Macaca mulatta: one gene and its partner. The protein of the gene in region 2 purifies or fractionates together with the protein of the main gene of each other region. This does not show direct contact. Links are inferred from orthologs where the notes say so. Each region holds a gene or a part of one and is shown on either strand. Other genes may lie near its edges.

Region 1 (9,467 bases), on a different chromosome or scaffold from region 2:
TTTTAGAACACATAATGCTCACGGACACTGACTGCACTGATTCTGTATCTGGTAAAAATATAAAGGAAAGAAAGGCAAAGTATTTTCAAGATAATCTTTTTGGTTAAATGACATTTACTAAAAATGGGCCTGCATGATTAAAACAGGATATGTACAACATGGAAGATAAAAAAATTCTAACATTTAAATTATTACTTAGCACAGACAATTAAAAACTGATAGTGAGCTACAGCCATGTATTTCTTTCATGGTCAACAGCCTTCTAAGCCTAGTCATTTGGGGCTAACACTGGATTCAACACTCTCCCCTCTTCCTATTCTTTTACGGAGAAAGCTGTATTCAAAGTATACTCAGTTTTTAATTTTCAATTACAAAAAATAACCACAGTGTGAAAATAAAATCTGAAGTAATTTTGTTAGTTTTCTTAGTATTAGACACTACATGCTGAAAATACCATTTTCTCTTTTTTATTTTACAACACATATTTATTTTTTTTTAAATTCCAACAATGCAGAAGTACATGTAGTACAAGACAAACATCTTCTATTGCTTCATAATTCCATTTCCCCAACAAAATCACCATCACCGGTTTGATGTTTTTATTTTTCTATAAACATATTTTACATAAGCTTATTTTGTTCTAATAAATTCAGATTGCTCTCACATGAGAGAAACACTACCTTGACAACTTGTTGAATATACTTCTTCCATGGCTATAAAATCTTTTATTTTAAAGAGTAATCACTTTAAGAAAAAAAGGCAGGAAGGAACTTTATATAAATATCACACACAAGATCATCAAACTGATCTTGTGGTGAGCAACCGTGGTTGGAAAAAATATTTGCTCCAAATAGAGAGATATTCTCTGGATGTCCCAAAATATGACCTGCCTGTACTCTCTAAACCAATGTAGCTATGTCACTGTCTGACAATGCCCAGCTTACCTGCACGCGCCACACTCAAACGTCCCATTTCCTTCATGACACTTGGGACTTTCAGGGATGCCTTCGCTTTGGCATTCACATTCACAGATGTACTGAAGAATAACCTCTACTTCCTCCGTGAAGCCCAGAGGCCTAATTTTAAAGCTGTCAGAATCCTTTTTTGGACACTTATTTGAAGTTATGCTAATTTCAAATTGAACCTTGAAGGGAAAAAAAAGATTAACAACTAAGCAATTTAAATCTACTAAAAAATATTTCAAAAAGTTGCTCACTTATTTTAATGTTTCTCAAAGTACAAACTAACTTTGCTTATAAATAACCAATGTTTTCTACAGAAAATATATACCTCATACATTATATTATACAACATACCTCATCTCCAATGGAAATACAACATACCTCATCTCCAATGGAAATATTGGAACATTTTCTTCCATTTTCCCCTGTTCCATTCACCCCGTTCTTGCAGTAAGATTTGTAACTTATTGTTACTCCTTCTGACAATTTGCCGTTTTCCAAAATGACTTCTGAGGAAAGGGACTAAAAGAATGCCTAATTATACACAGGAAAAGTCAAACAAAATCTACTTGAATGCATAAAACCAATGGATAAATAAACTATTCAGAAAAAAATATATTTCAATAAAATATTTACAAGCCAAATCCAATTGAGCAACTAGAAAACACAGAGGCCAGAGAAATAGGTTTTAATTAATAAGGATCCAATCTGTAAAATAAAATACACAACTGAAAAGAGTATTCGTGTTTTAACCGCTGAGTTAAAATACTCAGGATCACACAGTGTGGAGGGCCACTGCTGATCAGGAGAAGTCTTAGGAATGTGCAACAGGCTGGGCGTGGTAACTCACGCCTATAATCCCAGCACTTTGGGAGGCAGAGGTAGGTGGACTGCCTGGGCTCAGGAGTTGGAGACCAGCCTGGCCAACACAGTGAAACCCCATCTCTGCCAAAATACAAAAATAAAAAAAATTAAAAAAAAAATAAGCGGGCGTGGCAGCATGCACCTGTAATCCCAACTACTCGGGAGGGTGAGACAGGAGCGAGACTCCATCTTAAAAAAAAAAAAAAAAAAAAAAAAAAAGTGAAATAAATGCTGTCTTCCCCATTGGCAAAATGGCATTTCTGCAGTTCTACCTCTCCAGCTAACTACAGACTAGGGTAAACAATCAACTATGCAGTCTAGGAACAAATTTGCTTAAGGAACCATTGTAGCCCAGCCAAAACAAACAAACAAACAAAAAAACCCAAAATCCCCCAAGGATTCAAACCAGTGCTTGTTTAACGTATGAGACTATTCAGGACAAATGGAGAAGGGTAAAATGGCAAGCTATCTCTTGTTCACACCCCTGAAAAACAGGGGTTACGAAAATTATCTAACAGGGGAGAATGGAAAAGCTGTGGAACCAGTAAAACCTTAAAAACCTTTGTAAAAACCCCTCCGAGTCAGGCCTTTCCAAAGTATTATGGTACCCCCATGACATGAGGTAAAAATGTCTAAAATTCAAGCTGCCAAAGGGTTAGGGGGATGGGGGCTGAAAGCGGTGCACGAGGCACACAAGGGTTACCATAATATTACAATTGCCTTCAGATTATTTAAATGATCACTAATTAAGGCTAACTCAGTGTGACTGAAGTACACTGAATTATGCTCAAAAAGGAGAAGCCAATTCCTCTTTAATTTCAATTCAACTTCCTCCCATCTGTGAGGAGAAAACAACACTATAAATCTTTTTGAAATAGGCAAATCACACATATATTTACATTTTTATGTATTTTATGGTATATGTATATATGAGTGTATGTGTACCTCCTGAATAGAAACCTATATCCTCTGAATATATGGGAAAAGAATTGGCCAAAAAAAAAAAAAACACAACTTTTCTATCAGAAAAGTCATCTATTCTATCAGAATATGCCTTTAAGATTTAAGATTTCTGTAGTACTTTGGGCTCGCTAAGGTGTGTATGAAGGAAGTTTCACTTTCTTTGAAGAAAGTATTCTCAACAGGGTATTGTCCAAAACTGATCTTATTTAAGATGTACTCACATTGTATGCATCAATGATCAACTGAATTACATTACTAGAATTTGCAGATAATGTTCCTACTGCTGACTTAGGGATCAAGTTTTTCAGTTCCTGCAATTAAAAGATAAAACACGTAAAATACATCTACTATTCATTCAACCAATTAGCATCTACTGAGCAACTTTTATCTTTAAATGCCAGTTCCCATATGTCTCATCCTAACTAACTTTAGGAGTCAAACCTAGAAACCAGTTTTATAATATGTAATTAAAAGTTAATATAAACCACTTTTGTAAAATTCGGTTTGCCTATCTGGTGGCATTTTCCCACATTTCAATTCAGACATGATTTGCCTCTAACAACTCAACCAAAAATATTTAGAATTTTGTTCTTTTTATCTCACACATTTACCTTGTAAACGGGCTGAAATTCTTCAGTAACTGCAAAAATTGTCTGAATATTATTTTCACTCAGTTTCTGGACAAGGTGAGCAATAGAAGGATAATCCTAAGAAATCAAGTAATATATTTTAGTATGTAAATACACCCTTATAATCTAATTTTTCAATCTAGTCATACATGCAAGATTATACATAACTCGATTACAAGACTGCTTTAGATAACTAGATTACATATGTAATTTATATATAGTTAGAGTACATCTCTTGCATACATATAACTAGATTACAAGACTGCTTTCAAATAATATCAAATATAAACTGCTGAAGTGAGTAGTGTGTATACATGAATTGCTAATCCTCTTCTCTTTCATGTTTGAACAAAAAATTCCATATTCAAAAGGTTTTAAATAGTAAGATTATCTATGTATATTAAATATAGGGACAATGAAATTAAAGAATAGTCAGTAATCAAATATTCTACTATCTACAACTTAAGAAAAAGACCAAGATTTCCCATTTGGATTTCTTCTAGAACCTGAATGCTTTTGCCAATATTTCTTTTCAATAAAGGCAGAGTGACTGCTTTTAAAAATCATATAAGACAAAGAGTATGAGACTAGATAAATTATTTATTTAGAAATAGTACTGACTGTGCTACCAAATGCTGTGGGCAGGGAGTTGAGGCAAAGAGTGAAAGTGGCATCTGGGCATCCCTTTCTCACCCCAGTGAGGCCCTTGTCTGAGCAGAAGGAAGCAAATACAAAGCCACATCTTCACAAACAGCAACACTAGCTTTCCTGCACTTTCAATCAGGATCCCTACTTACCAAAATAGCAAAACCTCAAACCCTGAGAAACCCCAAGCCAGTCACCCACAAACTCTTAGTATTAAACATTAAAATCCAACATAAACACATTTGCTATGTAAGGAACTAAGCACTTACATAATAATGACTCATTGTGTACATATTATTTTCCAGGTGACACTGTCCATCATTTGGTAAAACAATGCCACCAAGTTTCCCATCTCCAGCAAAGTGAAACCCGGCATCTGTGGAAAACACCAGCAGCCGTGTAACATTCCTCCAGCCAATCAGTGACTTGAAAAGAAAAGGATTTCAATTTTAAAACACTATTCACGGTAATTCAACAAAAATCCTTTAATTTTCATACAGGCCACCATTGTATTTTAACCTAATTCTGTTTTTTCTGTGTCTTCTCTTTATACAATGCTAATTATCTTGCTGAGAAATGCACAAAGCCCAGTGAATGAAGCTCTTCCATCCCATGTACAACCATATCTTGCCTGACCATCCATCTCTCTCAGTTCTTTTTAAAAACTGTTTTTTGTTGTTGTTGTTTGGTTTGGTTTGGTTCTGCTTATCATCGTATCTCCAGCAGCTAGCAAGCCAGCACACTGCTTGACAAGCAGTAAGCGCTCGATGAACATTTGCTGAATAAATGAAAGTGTCTCAGCCTATTCTTACTTTACCCCACTGCTGCTGTCTTGTCCCCATCCACCCATCTGCTCTATATTCTATGCCATACACCTTATCAGCCCACCATATGAGGCTTCCCTTTTTTATAACGGAAATAATTATCTTGTTTAAGGATAATTTCACCCATTCTAACTCCTCAATCAGTACTGTTTATCTGCTCATTTACTTTATTCTTGACCTTTCCAATAAGAATCTAAAGTAACTGTAAAATCTTTTTGTCACTATGGTAATTTATAATTATAAAATCTTATGACTACAGGAATTTACTTGCTTTAGTTAATTTATTTAATACGTCTGTTTAGATCTTCATAAGACTGTAAAATCCTTTAAGGTGGTAATCACATTAATTAATACTGGCAATCTTTCAAAAGTGGAGTGATGAATCATTTTGCATCTAGAGGAGTGGATCAGCATGACCAACACAGAAAAATAGCCACAACCAAGGGTGCTATGGCTTGTTTAATCCCACAGGTTAAGGCCTAGTTAGAGGCAGCCCAGAGAATGCTCTCTCCACAAGGAGATGCTAACTGGTTCATATGTCACTGGCTAGCAAGAAAAGAGGTGTAAGGCTAGGCACTACCTGGAATGCTACCTGCTTCGGCTACAATAGCAAGGACTAACCTTAAATTGCAAACACTCTAGTGAAAACTCGAAAGTAACAACAATATAGGAATTGGTATTTGCCGAATGCTCACTGGTACTTCTAGAGATTGATGCATTTTAACTTCACAAGAGCCCTATGAGGTAGATAACTATTATCATCCCTTCTTAAAGAAAAGAAAACAGCCCTGGAGAGACTAAGTAAATTGCCCAGCATCAGTGGTGATAGAAAAATTTGTATTACTATCCATATTCCTTCACTTATTATTTTGGGCATCAATTAGCACCTTAGCAAAAATTGACTGAAAAATAACCATTAAGAGGCCTCTAAAATCAAAGAAGGTCATCTAGAGAATGGGGGCACTGGATGGAACAAAAATGAGACAAGAGTAGGTACACAGGACAAACTTGACCTCACAATCTTTTCTAGTTTCAGCCTCAGCCACACCATTCAAGTGTCATCTCAAAATATGCTGCTGCTACATGGATCATAAAATGCCAATTACTGATCCAATAGGGATGGGCTTGCTACTAAAAATCTTACAATTAAAATTACAAATATTATACCACTTCTCAAAATACATCTATTCATATAGCTTAAAAACTAGAGCTTAAAAAGTTATTTCTTTTTGAATTACTAATTCAAAAGATGTGAAAGATGTGTCTTTCAAAGACAGTGAGAAGAAAACTGACCAAAGGAAAATGATACAAGACACCCTCCCTTTGAGCAATTTCAAGGTTCCTGGTGATGCCTCAGGTAATAACATCAATTCTATCTCTGGTACAAAACCAGAAAGTTAAGACACAAGGGCTTTTCTAAAATCCAGACCACCACCTACAGTACAGGGAGGTTGCCCCGCTGTTTCAAATGGTTAGCATTCTGGCTTTTAAAAGCGTGCATGAATAAACTAACTGCCTGGTTTGCATAAAGATTAAATATGCTTTTATAAAGGCACCTGTATACAGGCAATTTAAGGATTTACTTAAATTACTTCTCTAAGATAATCAAATGTATGAAAATTAAGATCAATTTTTCTATTAACATAGTAAAATCACACTTAAAATTCACACACGTAATAGAAATAATATCCCCTTATAGGAAATGAATGTGCTTACTCCACAAACTGCAACTTGCATGATGGCATCAAAACCACCTTCTGGAGAATCCAAATTTCCAGATATGCGCTGTTTTCCAACAAGTTCATTAAATACTTCTCCTTTATTAGTAAGACTGAGCACATTTTTGTAGCTAAATGGGCTGGTGCAGTTCTGTTCACTTGTGCAAGGGTTCCTGAGCTTAGCTGGTGTTGTGCTAATGTAAGGCATCACAGTCTTTTCCACAAATGAACCAAATCCTGTAAAGAAAAAAATGGTACATAAATGAATGAATGGAAGGATAGATGGAAAGACAGAGATTTGCATTCTTTAAAAAATTCATCTATGTTACCACATATTGGTTACTACGGACTGAATGTCTGTCCATTCAGGCAGAGCCCTCATGAATGGGATTACTGACTGACACAGTCTGGGTATTTGTCCCCACCCAAGTCTCATGTTGAAATGTGATCCCCAATGTTGAAGGTGCGGCCTGGTGGGAGATATTTGGCTCAAGGGGGCAGATCAATCCCTCATGGCTTGGTGCTATTCTGACCAAGCCATGGTCAGACATAGTGAGTGAGTGACATAGTGAGGGAGTTCTCATGAAATCAGGTATTTAAAATTGTGTGGCACCTCCCCCCACCTCTTGTTCCTGCTCCCACCATGTGAGAAGCCTGCTCCCCACTTTCCCTTCTGCCATGATTGGAAGCTTCCTGAGGCCTCCCAGAGGCCTTGCTGATGCTAGCGCCATGCTTCCTGTAGAGCCTGCAGGACTGTAAACCAATTAAATCTCTTTTCTTTATAAATTACCCAGTCTCAGATATTTCTTTATAGCAACGTAAGAATAGACTCCTACAGTGACCTCATCAAAGAAGCCCCAGAGAGCTGCTGTCCCCTGCTGCTATGTGAGTACATGGCAAGAAGGTATCATCTATGAACCCAGAAGAGGGCCCTCACCAGATGCTCAATCTGCCTTGATCTTGGACTTCTCACCTCCAGAGCTGTGAGAAATAAATTTCTGTTGTTCATAAGCCACCCAGTTTATAGTATTTTCTTAAAGCAGCGCAAATGGACTAAGACCTAAGTCAATCTTTTTATTTTGCCTCCCTACTTTAAAAATAACTCACATTCATTTTCTTGGCACACCAGCTGTCAATAATGGCATGCTGAACAAAAGAATAACTATTCTAGAATTCTGGCCATTTTAAAAAAGACTAATTTGGTAGGAGTTCCCTAATGCCATGGTCCTTGAATTATGCTTACTGAATAAAAGAACATTTTAAGCAAGTGCTCTTTTTTAAAGTTTCCACTAAAATAGGGCTAGTTTTTGAAAGGCAGCTCTTAGGCCTCATGATTGTCAAATCTTTCTAATTTTCTGTTGCTAAACCTCTGCAGCAACAGGAGTGGAGAGAAGCAGGCAAAAAAGAGGTTAAGCTGGGGACGCATGAAATGGGAAAAATAAGGTTTGGAAAACAGATCATCACCGTATGAAAAATCCAGGTCTAAGGTGAGATCAGGCTGTACAGGCAGGTACAGCCATACTAACTAGTAATTAGATAAAATCTGGGTACTCAATACATGTTTATAAAATAAGTCCTAAGGGCCAGGCATGGGGGCTCTCGCCTGTAATCCCAAAACTCTGGGAGGCCAAGGCAGGTGGATTACCTGAGGTCAGGAGTTCGAGACCAGCCTGGCCAACATGGTGAAACCCCATCTCTACTAAGTTACAAAAAATTAGCTGGGCGTGGTGGCAGACGCCTATAATCCCAGCTACTCCGGAGGCTGCGGCAGGAGAATCACTTGAACCCAGGAGGCGGAGATTGCAGTGACCGAGATCACACCATTGCACTCCAGCCTGGGCAACAAGAGCGAAACTCTTAAAATAAAAATAAAAATAAAATAAAATAAGTCATAAGATAAATGATCAAGTTAGTGTGAAAACAAGCATGCAAGTCAGTATGAGGTACAATCTGTGTTAAACAGTAGCATCCAGTGACAGAGGAACAAGGTGGCAGAAAAGATTATTAAACGTGTGACCGGAATATCAATTTCCACTCAGAAAAGGCTAAAAAACTGGCCTGTTTATCTCACAAGTATGTAGAGAGTAACAAAGGAAGAAAACATAAAACAACATTTGAGAATTGCCAAGACTTTATAATGAAAATGATCGATGTTTCCAACATTCCTACCAATTCTGAAGTCAGACGTAATCCTCCTCATTTCATTCATCAGATCTGTTCCAAGACTTTTTACATTCTCCAAATCGTCTTTCATTGAGTAAGACAGGTCCATAAGGTAGTAGAGGTCAATGGGATAGTCTTCAGCTCTCTTGAATTTTAATGTAAATGTCTGTGGCTCCCCTAATTAGACAAGAGATTAGAAAATGAAACTTGCCTGTTGGCAAACGAGAAGAAACAAATAAATGTGATTTACATGGTAAACACAATAAAATAAAACATGCTGTCATAATTTTTACAAAAACCTGGGAATTCCATAAGTAACTCAATGGGTATGAATTCAATTTCATTCAACAAATACTTAAAACACCAGGCCTTCAGGATGCAACGATAAAAAAAGACATTCCCAATCCACAGTGGACAAAACAGACAAAAAGTCAGTTTACAAGAGAAGGAAACAAATAGAACATCATAAATTAGTCTGGGGAGAGCAAGGCAGAACACGTGATAGGGTACAACTTTTTAGACACTGAAGTTGTGAACTCCATTCTGTGTGTAATGGGAAGCCACTCCCTGCAAGTGAATAACACGATCCAATTTTTACTTTAGAAAACCTGGCAGAAAGCTTTAAAAATAAATTACTGAGGCAAAGAGACTAGCTAATCTATAAAACAAACCCAGAGAGAGATGATGAAGGAGGAGAAG
Region 2 (9,467 bases):
TTGTACAGCATCTGTTCTAACTGGTGGGGGTTTCTGTTCTAATTGGCCAGGGCTCATACCCTACTGGTTATTTAAATATTTTAAATAACATCCCTGGAAATAATACCAAGCTCAAAACTGATCTGGGAACTAAATGGGATAACATATGTAAAGCACTTGATACAACGGCTGGTACTTATTACACACTCTATGAATGTTATTACCACTACTTGAATAGATGCCCCATTAAAGAATGTAGTTGCCAAATACCATCCACATTTTATAAATTCTATTATAGTATCTAGATCATAAAGATTCTTCTAAAGATTTTTTTATCACAAAATTGCAGGGTTGTAACCATGTAACAAACTAGTGAGAAATGAACAAAAATAAAATGGTATTGACTTAGGATAGTGGATAAATTCTTTTTACTTTCCAAAGTTTATTTAATTTTATTACATTATAAAATAGTTATTCTTTCACAAATTAATTTATCTTCATATATCTGGTAGTAATCTTTAGATTAATAATTGCTTTCTAATAGTAAATAGAATTTGGTTCAAAAATATTTTTAGATACTACCTAGTATTGCTGTACAGATTTGTATACAAAAGGAAAATTCAAACAGAAGTGGTCTCTAAGGATAAATTGACATAATAATTATATTCCAAAGACTTTTACCCACAGCAATACCTTTATAGTAATACTCTGTTGGTTAATATTGAACATTTGCCTTCAAAATATATCAATTATCTCTTACCCAAGACACATAACTACGCACAAAGCCCAGTTGTTTACTTGTCTATGATCTAGCCTATCGGTTATCAAAGTATGGCACCTGGACCAGCAGCATAAGCATCACCTGGGAGCTTGTTAGATATGCAAATGTAGAGGCCCACCCCAGACCTACTGAATCTGAAACCCTGGAGATAAAGCCCAGTATCTGTGTTTTCACAATTCCTCCAGGTGATTTTGATGCACACCCAAGTTTGAGAACCACGGATGTATTTCAATTTCTTTTTACTTTTTCCTTTTATTTCCAGACTCATGTTTTTTTTCTTCTCGCTTTCTCCTGGATTTGCCATCCTTATGACAGGCTTACCAACCTTCAGGGAGAAGATGAATTTTGGACCAATATCTTCAAAACTGTGCACGATTGAAGGAACATTCCCATCCGAAGAGATTTCATAAAAATTTATGTTGGTAGATCTGTTGGATGATGTTTGTAAAGCCAAATATTTTAGTTTGCTTTTGTTCTTGAAGGTTAATATTTCTTTTATTTAAGTATCTTATAGTTTAGGTTAAAATAAATTTTACTTTTAGTTACAAAGGCACCAAATCAAAAGAAATGCTTGTTATGGGCTTATGGTCCAATGTATGTTTCTAAGACTAACATAAATTCCTTTCAAAACATATTTCTTTGTGGACTTTCTGCTAAGAGTTTGTGCATTATATGTCTACGAATTGTCAAGTTTCTAAATAAGTACAAAAGTATTACTTTAGAATTGACAGTAGAACTCTTCCCAAGATTACCGTTACATTGACTAGCATGTTAACATAGTAGACAGTCAGTACTTGTTGGTTGAATAAATGGATTTATAAGCCAGGGTTTTTCACCTTGCTGTGGCTCAAATGTAATAACAGGGTATTGAGCACCTTCAGTGTTCATTACTGGATGCCTGTATTATTCATTCTTCCTATCCTTCTTTAGTTGCAAACCAATTCAAATGGTTTAGTCTGAATGGGGTTGGTCAAATCTGTTTCCGCCATTAGTGTAGAGACCACCTTTAAGATGGCTGATCCAGAAGTTTTAGTATTCTGGACCTAAACACGCTGGATTGATCTTAACTTCTTTGCTTAAGATTACCAACAAAGTTCTGCAAGCAAAGTGATGATGAGATTAGAGAAACCCTCATAGGACCACTCAGACTAGAATGAAACTGGGGACCTCCCCTCTCCTCACTCATTTATGGGGCTCTGAGGTGGGATTCCAACCAGGGTAGCTTCTTTGGGTTGGGGATTAAGGTATGAGTGGTGAGGGTAGGGGTCTGAGAACACTGTGCATATCCTTTCCATTTATTCCCACTGGACAATTTATGTTAATTATAGAATGTTAATTCTATTTCTTAAAAACTTGGGGTGGGCATTTTCTGAAGTAGAATTTTTTTGGGTTTCTGTACTAAAACCTTGTCTTTCCCTCTTTTATGCCTTAATGAATTTTTTCCAAGTCCATAAAAGGAAAATATGTCATAGGGAGACTTGAGTGGATGTATTTGTCAAGGTTATATATGAGAGGAAACAATGATTTGTCAGCCTGACATGGAAAATGGGAAAACTGACTAGGATTTGAAACAGAAAGCTTGGATGTGTGTGCATGAATTATTTCCTATGCCTTCCAGAAGATCTTTGTGTGAGATCCTAAATGGGGCCAATTTCTAAATTAATATGGTCTCTCTTTGCATTTTAAAGAGATCTGACACTTTTCCATTTGTTACTTAAGTGTTCCTTAGGCTACTTAAGTGTTGATCAATATATTTATAATAATAGTTATCTATACTCAGGGGGATCCTGCTTCAGAAATAATACTATTATCGTTATTTCTACCCATCTTTTTTTTACAGTATAATTGTACAGTTATACAGTATCAAAGTTGTTGCTAAGAAATACACTAAGTTATTGGGTAGGATTTTTTTCAAAAGTTTGTTAAGATGTTTGTTAAATTCTTTTGCAGCATTGCTTGTGATGGTTAAACCAAACAAAATAAAAATGCAAAACAACCAAATATCTTGTTAATATTGAATCGGTTATATAAATTATGATCCAGTCAGAACTGGAATAAGTTGGATCTGTATGTCCTCATATGAAAACTTTCCTAAGATTATGTAAAATGCAAGGTACAGAAGAGTGTTTTAGCATTCCTTTTGGGTAATAAAATGTGCGTGTGTGTATATGTGTGTGTGTGTGTGTGTGTGCGTGCGTTATATGCATATATCCTGGTAGATAAGCAACCCTGTATCTGGAAGATATTCGGAAAAGTCTTGTTAGTCCCCTATGGGGAGTGGCACTAGGGAAGGTGGGGAGGGATGATCTCTCACTGTGTATCTTTCTCTAATGTTTGGGTTTTCTCGGTAGTAGGACTAGGAGCCATTTTAGCTTTTGTCCTTTATAATTCTCTACGTTAATGTTTTTGAGGATATATTTTAAAGAACATTAGAATACATTTGAATTCAAGTTGCCATTACAAAAATACATGCCTAATATGATAATTAGTAAAAGTAAAGTCTCATTTCAATCTTACATTTATTTCATTCTTAAATATCTGGAAAAATATTGGCCATTGTAGGACAGTAGAATAATAAAAAGACTGTATTGACAAAAAATATTTAGAAGAAAGGATCAATATAAGAAGGAAAATATTCAGGTAATGTGGTAACATCAATTTGGGTTGGTTGCATTTGTTTCCAATGCCTTATTTTAGCAAGTGGGGATCCTTTGAAGTCTGCAGTTACTGATGACTTTTTCAGAGATGTATTATTTGGACTGTATTTTGCTTCTGCTTGTGCTGTTTGCAACTCACTTGATACAGAAGCATTCTTTTCATCTTTGCTCTTTGGCTCAAGCTCTAGACATGATGACATATTTTCCTTTTTGTTTTTGCTCAGAGAGCTATTGAATGATCTACAGATTCCATGCTCTTAGGGGCTGGGGTGATTGTGGTAGAAATTAGACAAACCTGCTGTCACTGGATTTCTTGGGAAAGTGCTGCAGTGTGCTATTCAGGGGTCATTGATCTGTGCTGGGAAGCTGTCCTAGTGCTTCACCAGGTAGAGAACTCTGGCTCCCCGGCCTGTAGGAGGGCATCACCTGGGCCCATTGCACCTGCACAACTGTGCCCCAGTTTGTCTGCCATGAACTCACCTTATTTCTATGTATGAGTTAAAGTGATATCAATCTATTAGAACCTGTGAAATGTGGATGTCACCCACTTCCCAAGACACCCGTCCCCCTGAACAATTAAAGACAGCTGGTATCAACCAGTAACATTTACACCACTGCTCTCAGGTTTGCTTGCTTTGGGCAGGTAAAAACAGGGAACAAAGCATTTCTTTATGGATGACCTCCTTTGGAAAAAACCTCATTTCCTCCTGGCTGGAAGAAAACCCTAATCTGATATGTTAGGAATTTTTCACTCAGAAACTAGACTTGATCTAGTTTCAATATTTGAATATTCAAACCGTGACTAGATTCAATATTTATTGTGAAACTACTGTGTGTAAAACTTTGTGCTTGGGGCCTCAATGTCCAGGAATGGGGATACCGCTTGAGATCTCATATACAATGGGAAGCAGGCAGTGAGAAGAAAGTGCAGACAATTCTCAGGACCTTTGAGAGTTCTGTTTCAACATTTTGAAAATGTTTGCAGCTACTCAGAGGGCCTGCAATGTGAAGTGTGCCTGTGATGTGTGGCTACAGGGATCTTTCTCTGCCTTTCTGGGCTGTTCTCGTTAGTTTAATAAACCTAATGAGTCACTCAAGGTTTTCCTAGGGACCTATATGTCTGTGGACTTCTGTTTTAGTTGACAAGAATTGTAATTCAAATTCTTCAGTTAAGAATGAGCATACAGAGGACTTATTTAGCCATGAGCCAAAAATCTTCTGATCTAGAGTTGGTGTTAGTGATAACAGGTTACCCACCGCTTCACCTACCTTGTTAAGTGAATTTCAGCATCATACAGGAGAGGAATTTTGAGGTTGACCAAATTATCAGGCTCGTTTTCTTCTTGGCTTTCACTATAGAAAGAAACATTACGAAATTGATTCCCTATTTAATAAATGGTGCTGGGAAAATTGGCTAGCCATAAGTAGAAAGCTGAAACTGGATCCTTTCTTTACTCCTTATACGAAAATTAATTCAAGATACATTAGAGACTTAAATGTTAGACCTAATACCATAAAAACCCTGGAAGAAAACCTAGGTAGTACCATTCAGGACACAGGCATAGGCAAAGACTTCATGTCTAAAACACCAAAAGCAACGGCAGCAAAAGCCAAAATTGACAAATGGGATCTAATTAAACCAAAGAGCTTCTGCACAGCAAAAGAAACTACCATCAGAGTGAACAGGTAACCTACAGAGTGGGAAAAAATTTTTGCAATCTACTCATCTGACAAAGGGCTAATATCCAGAACCTACAAAGAACTCAAACAAATTTACAAGAAAAAACCAAACAACCCCATCAAAAAGTGGGCAAAGGATATGAACAGACATTTCTCAAAAGAAGACATTCATACAGCCAACAGACACATGAAAAAATGCTCATCATCACTGGCCATCAGAGAAATGCAAATCAAAACCACAATGAGATACCATCTCACACCAGTTAGAATGGCAATCATTAAAAAGTCAGGAAACAACAGGTGCTGGAGAGGATGTGGAGAAATAGGAACACTTTTACACTGTTGGTGGGATTGTAAACTAGTTCAACCATTATGGAAAACAGTATGGCAATTCCTCAAGGATCTAGAACTAGATGTACCATATGACTCAGCCATCCCATTACTGGGTATATACCCAAAGGATTATAAATCATGCTGCTATAAAGACACATGCACACGTATGTTTATTGCAGCACTATTCACAATAGCAAAGACTTGGAATCAACCCAAATGTCCATCAGTGACAGACTGGATTAAGAAAATGTGGCACATATACACCATGGAATACTATGCAGCCATCAAAAAGGATGAGTTCGTGCCCTTTGTAGGGACATGGATGCAGCTGGAAACCATCATTCTTAGCAAACTATCACAAGAACAGAAAACAAAACACCGCATGTTCTCACTCATAGGTGGGAACTGAACAATGAGATCACTTGGACTCGGGAAGGGGAACATCACACACCAGGGCCTATCATGGGGGGGGGGAGGGGGGAGGGATAGCATTGGGAGTTATACCTGATGTAAATGACGAGTTGATGGGTGCTGACGAGTTGATGGGTGCAGCACACCAACATGGCACATGTATACATATGTAACAAACCTGCACGTTATGCACATGTACCCTAGAACTTGTATAATAATAATAATAATAAATAAATTTTTAAAAAAAGAGAAATATAAAGCTATCCATCATTCCATTGGTGACTTAATTATGTTTTACCTTAAGGCTTGGAAACTGAGAGATGCCTGATTCTGAAGGTTTTGAAGATTGAAGTCGAAGTTAATAGTAAAGGTCACCTAAAGACAAAATTAAAATTTCTCAGTCTATGATGCTTCATACTCAGGGGTCAATGTGAAAAAAAAAAATGCTTCCCATAAAAGTAAACTCACTCAAATTTGATTCTGAATTTTATATACCTTAAGTTTTCCAATTTATAAAATATCTTTATTTGTCCACCTTGTTTCACTATGCTTCACATTAGAATTAGAAAAGCTTGACTTCCAAGTGACACATGTAAGTTATCCAGGTGCATATACCTGTCTGAATTTAGAAGCTATGAGCTGATGTGAAACTTGTTAACAGGGGTTAATAAATGATCTCCATGACTCTGTGTAGAGTGCTTTGACCAATGTTGCTCGACATATTTAGACAAAAAGAACCTTCCATATTGTGTGTACCTTTTGGAATGAATTGCATGGAGAAAATCCCATTTTTATTAATAATTTAAAGAAAACATTCAGATATTGAAAACTTCCCCTAAGTATGCAGCCAGTTATTTTGTGATGCCTATCAAATTATGATAGCAGGATGTTATGTTGGTAAATCAGCATATGTGCTGAGGAGGGCTTGTATGGACTGGAGGATGAAATGCAAGCTGTACCTGTTGTTCTCTCTTTAAAGCAGGGTAGCCTACATCACAGGCAACAGACTTCTGAGATGCAGCCACCTGGCATGTTACTTCCGTCCCATCAACCTGAACAAGACCAAGGAAACAACAATGATCAATTGGCATATAATATTTGGCTGTGTATGCACACACCTGGTGAAAGAGGTACAGTGACATTTTAGCAGTAAGGTTGGTTCAGACTGAAATAATTTATTATCCCTCAAGACTTGAAATTTTATACTGCCCAGGTGGCTAATATACTATTTTTGCTGCTAGCCCTAAAGATACCTAGGACATCCAACAAACCAAAGAAAAGATTAAATACTGTATTTTTTTCCTCAGAAAAAGATAGTTTTTAGATTTCAGATGCACAAATAGCTTTAATTCAGTATTTTAAAATGCTGGCTTTAGGAATATGTTTTTCTCAATTTATTTGAAGCATTTTCAAGAGAAGAATATATTGGTGTTCGTATTTTAAATAATTTGAAGGGTTTTTGTTGTTGTTGTTGTTTTGTTTTGTTTTGTTTTCTTCAGGTTTTTTTCCCCCCCTTTAAAAGAAGTAGTTGCCACTTGGCACAGGATGTTTAAACAGCAAGGTCAGATTAGGTTTAGAACTCTAAGCCTATTAAGATCACATTAACTTTAAATTAAATGAAATCACTATTTAATCCTTTAATCAAGTAGTTCATTTGGAAAATCTCAGCGTTTCCTTCTCTCCCTTTTTTCTTCATCATTTGGTGGTAGGGGAGGGACCAGGGAGCACTCACGGTCAAGTGTGTTCCTGGTATAACGATCAAGTCAATGTGATTAGCTGGCTTTGCTGATGTGCATCATCTTGGCAGCAGCAGCAACCGTAGTTGCAAAGCTCAGGCTGAGCTTTGGGACTCAAATGTCTCAGAGCAAGTGCACCGCATCTGTGCAGAATGCAGCAGCCTCATCACACTGATGGCTCAAGAAGAGTTATGGGAGTGTCTGGCTACTGCTGCCAAGTCTCAGGATAAGGGAAAAACTGACCCGAGTTGTCAAGCAGAATCTAGATATAGAGCCAGACTATGTTCTCATGTGATTTAACTAGTCGGAAGCCACAAAGTTCAGACTGATCATGCTGAGGGTTAAGGTGCTTCTTTAAACAACTCAGAGGACATAGAGTGATCGATAAGTAGGAAGCATGGTAGAAGTAAGCGCAGGGTCTCATCACATACCGGCAGGGAGAATGATGCAAAAAACAAGTTTTCTGAAAAATCAACAACAATTCCAGTGTTGTATGCACTTTCCCTTTTGTTTTTCAGTGTTACTGAAAATGTTAACCTTTTGTTTTGGTTGCTGACAGTAAAGGGTTGTTCTCTGTTAAAAGCAAAAAGGAGGGAGGAAGCCATTACTGTTAAATAAAAAGGCCAGTATTTTAAAATTTCACTCATTAAAAAACTAAACTCTTTAGACTTACCTAGAATACTGAGAAAATTGCTTTGTAATAAACTATCTTTGCATTAAAATGATACTGACAACAAATAAGTAAGTGCGTTTGGATTTTGTTCTTTGTTGCTATTATATTAGAGGGAATGGAACTATTTAAATACAGATAATTTTGTATTTCTTATTAATTTACTCTTATGTGGATAGTAGACATTGAAATTTAGTTTTTAAAGGTCTTGTTAGTTATGAATGTTTCTTTTGTAGAAAAACTCTATAAACATTCACTTGAATAAAGTAATCTAATGTGTCTTTTATTTCTACATTTTACAATGAGCTTTAAAGTAAAACTTACTGAGCAGCTGGTATTTGTCGGACATCTAGAACTAGATCAGCAATGCAAAGTCCATCCTCACCACAGTCTTTGTGGAAAGGAATCTACAAAAAAGGAAAAAAAGATCCATACATTTGCTCTTGGGTTGAAAAAGCAAATTACAGAAGAATACATACAGTATTATTCTATTTACAAAAAGTATAAAACCAAACAATGTTCTAGGAATATATAAATGTTTAACAAAATAGTAAAGAAAAGCATTAATAAACACAAAATTCAAGATAATCATTTGCGCAGGGGGAGCTAGATGAAAGTGTCTATGGCGGGGACAGCGATACACAGAGCTTCATATGTATTGGTAATATTTTTTGAGTGGTGAGCACAAGGCATTTACTTTATTTTTATTTATTTCTTCAACAAATATGTGTTGAACACATACAATGGGCCAGGCCCAGGTCTAGGGACTGGAAATACAGCAGTGAACAAGAAAAACAAAAATCCTTACTGTCATGGAACTTAAGTGTTAGTGAACTTTATGCAAATGTAATTGTATTTTATTTAGAAAATTAAGAATTTACAGGCTGCATCCTAAGTATCCTTCAGACACTATTGTAGTGACTGTGAAACTTTGTTTGCCAGTCTAAATCCAGGAAGTGTAAGCTGCACTTACACTGAAGACCTTGGTAGTCTCAGAATAGGCTTCAAGGGCAGGGCTAGTGCCAGGGTTTTCCAGACTGATGTCCACACGCAAATCCAAAGAGTTGACAACATCAGAGGGCTCCTAAACATACACACACACAAACATACAGGGAGAGACAGAGTCAGTTTATTAGGGCACAGCAGCATTAAAACAAGAAAACGATTACAGATGTGTTTACAATTAAGAGCACAGTCAGCTCTCAATTATGTAGAATATC

Evidence for each region.
Region 1: the proteins of ITGA2 (region 2) and ITGB1 purify together in Homo sapiens (co-immunoprecipitation; 3 studies listed by BioGRID and IntAct, with this or other methods). This does not show direct contact. The link is inferred for Macaca mulatta from reciprocal best matches to the Homo sapiens genes ITGA2 and ITGB1.

The regions. Positions count from the first base shown.
Region 1 is NC_133414.1:34,307,908-34,317,374, forward strand, and holds part of ITGB1 (integrin beta-1), read right to left. Parts: intron 8,946-9,467; coding exon 8,775-8,945; intron 6,843-8,774; coding exon 6,604-6,842; intron 4,489-6,603; coding exon 4,333-4,488; intron 3,497-4,332; coding exon 3,401-3,496; intron 3,101-3,400; coding exon 3,011-3,100; intron 1,485-3,010; coding exon 1,317-1,484; intron 1,145-1,316; coding exon 945-1,144; intron 1-944.
Region 2 is NC_133411.1:60,829,991-60,839,457, reverse strand, and holds part of ITGA2 (integrin alpha-2 precursor), read right to left. Parts: intron 9,332-9,467; coding exon 9,221-9,331; intron 8,655-9,220; coding exon 8,572-8,654; intron 8,151-8,571; coding exon 8,009-8,150; intron 6,894-8,008; coding exon 6,801-6,893; intron 6,217-6,800; coding exon 6,140-6,216; intron 4,771-6,139; coding exon 4,687-4,770; intron 1,189-4,686; coding exon 1,086-1,188; intron 1-1,085. UniProt on the Homo sapiens protein: Integrin alpha-2/beta-1 is a receptor for laminin, collagen, collagen C-propeptides, fibronectin and E-cadherin. It recognizes the proline-hydroxylated sequence G-F-P-G-E-R in collagen.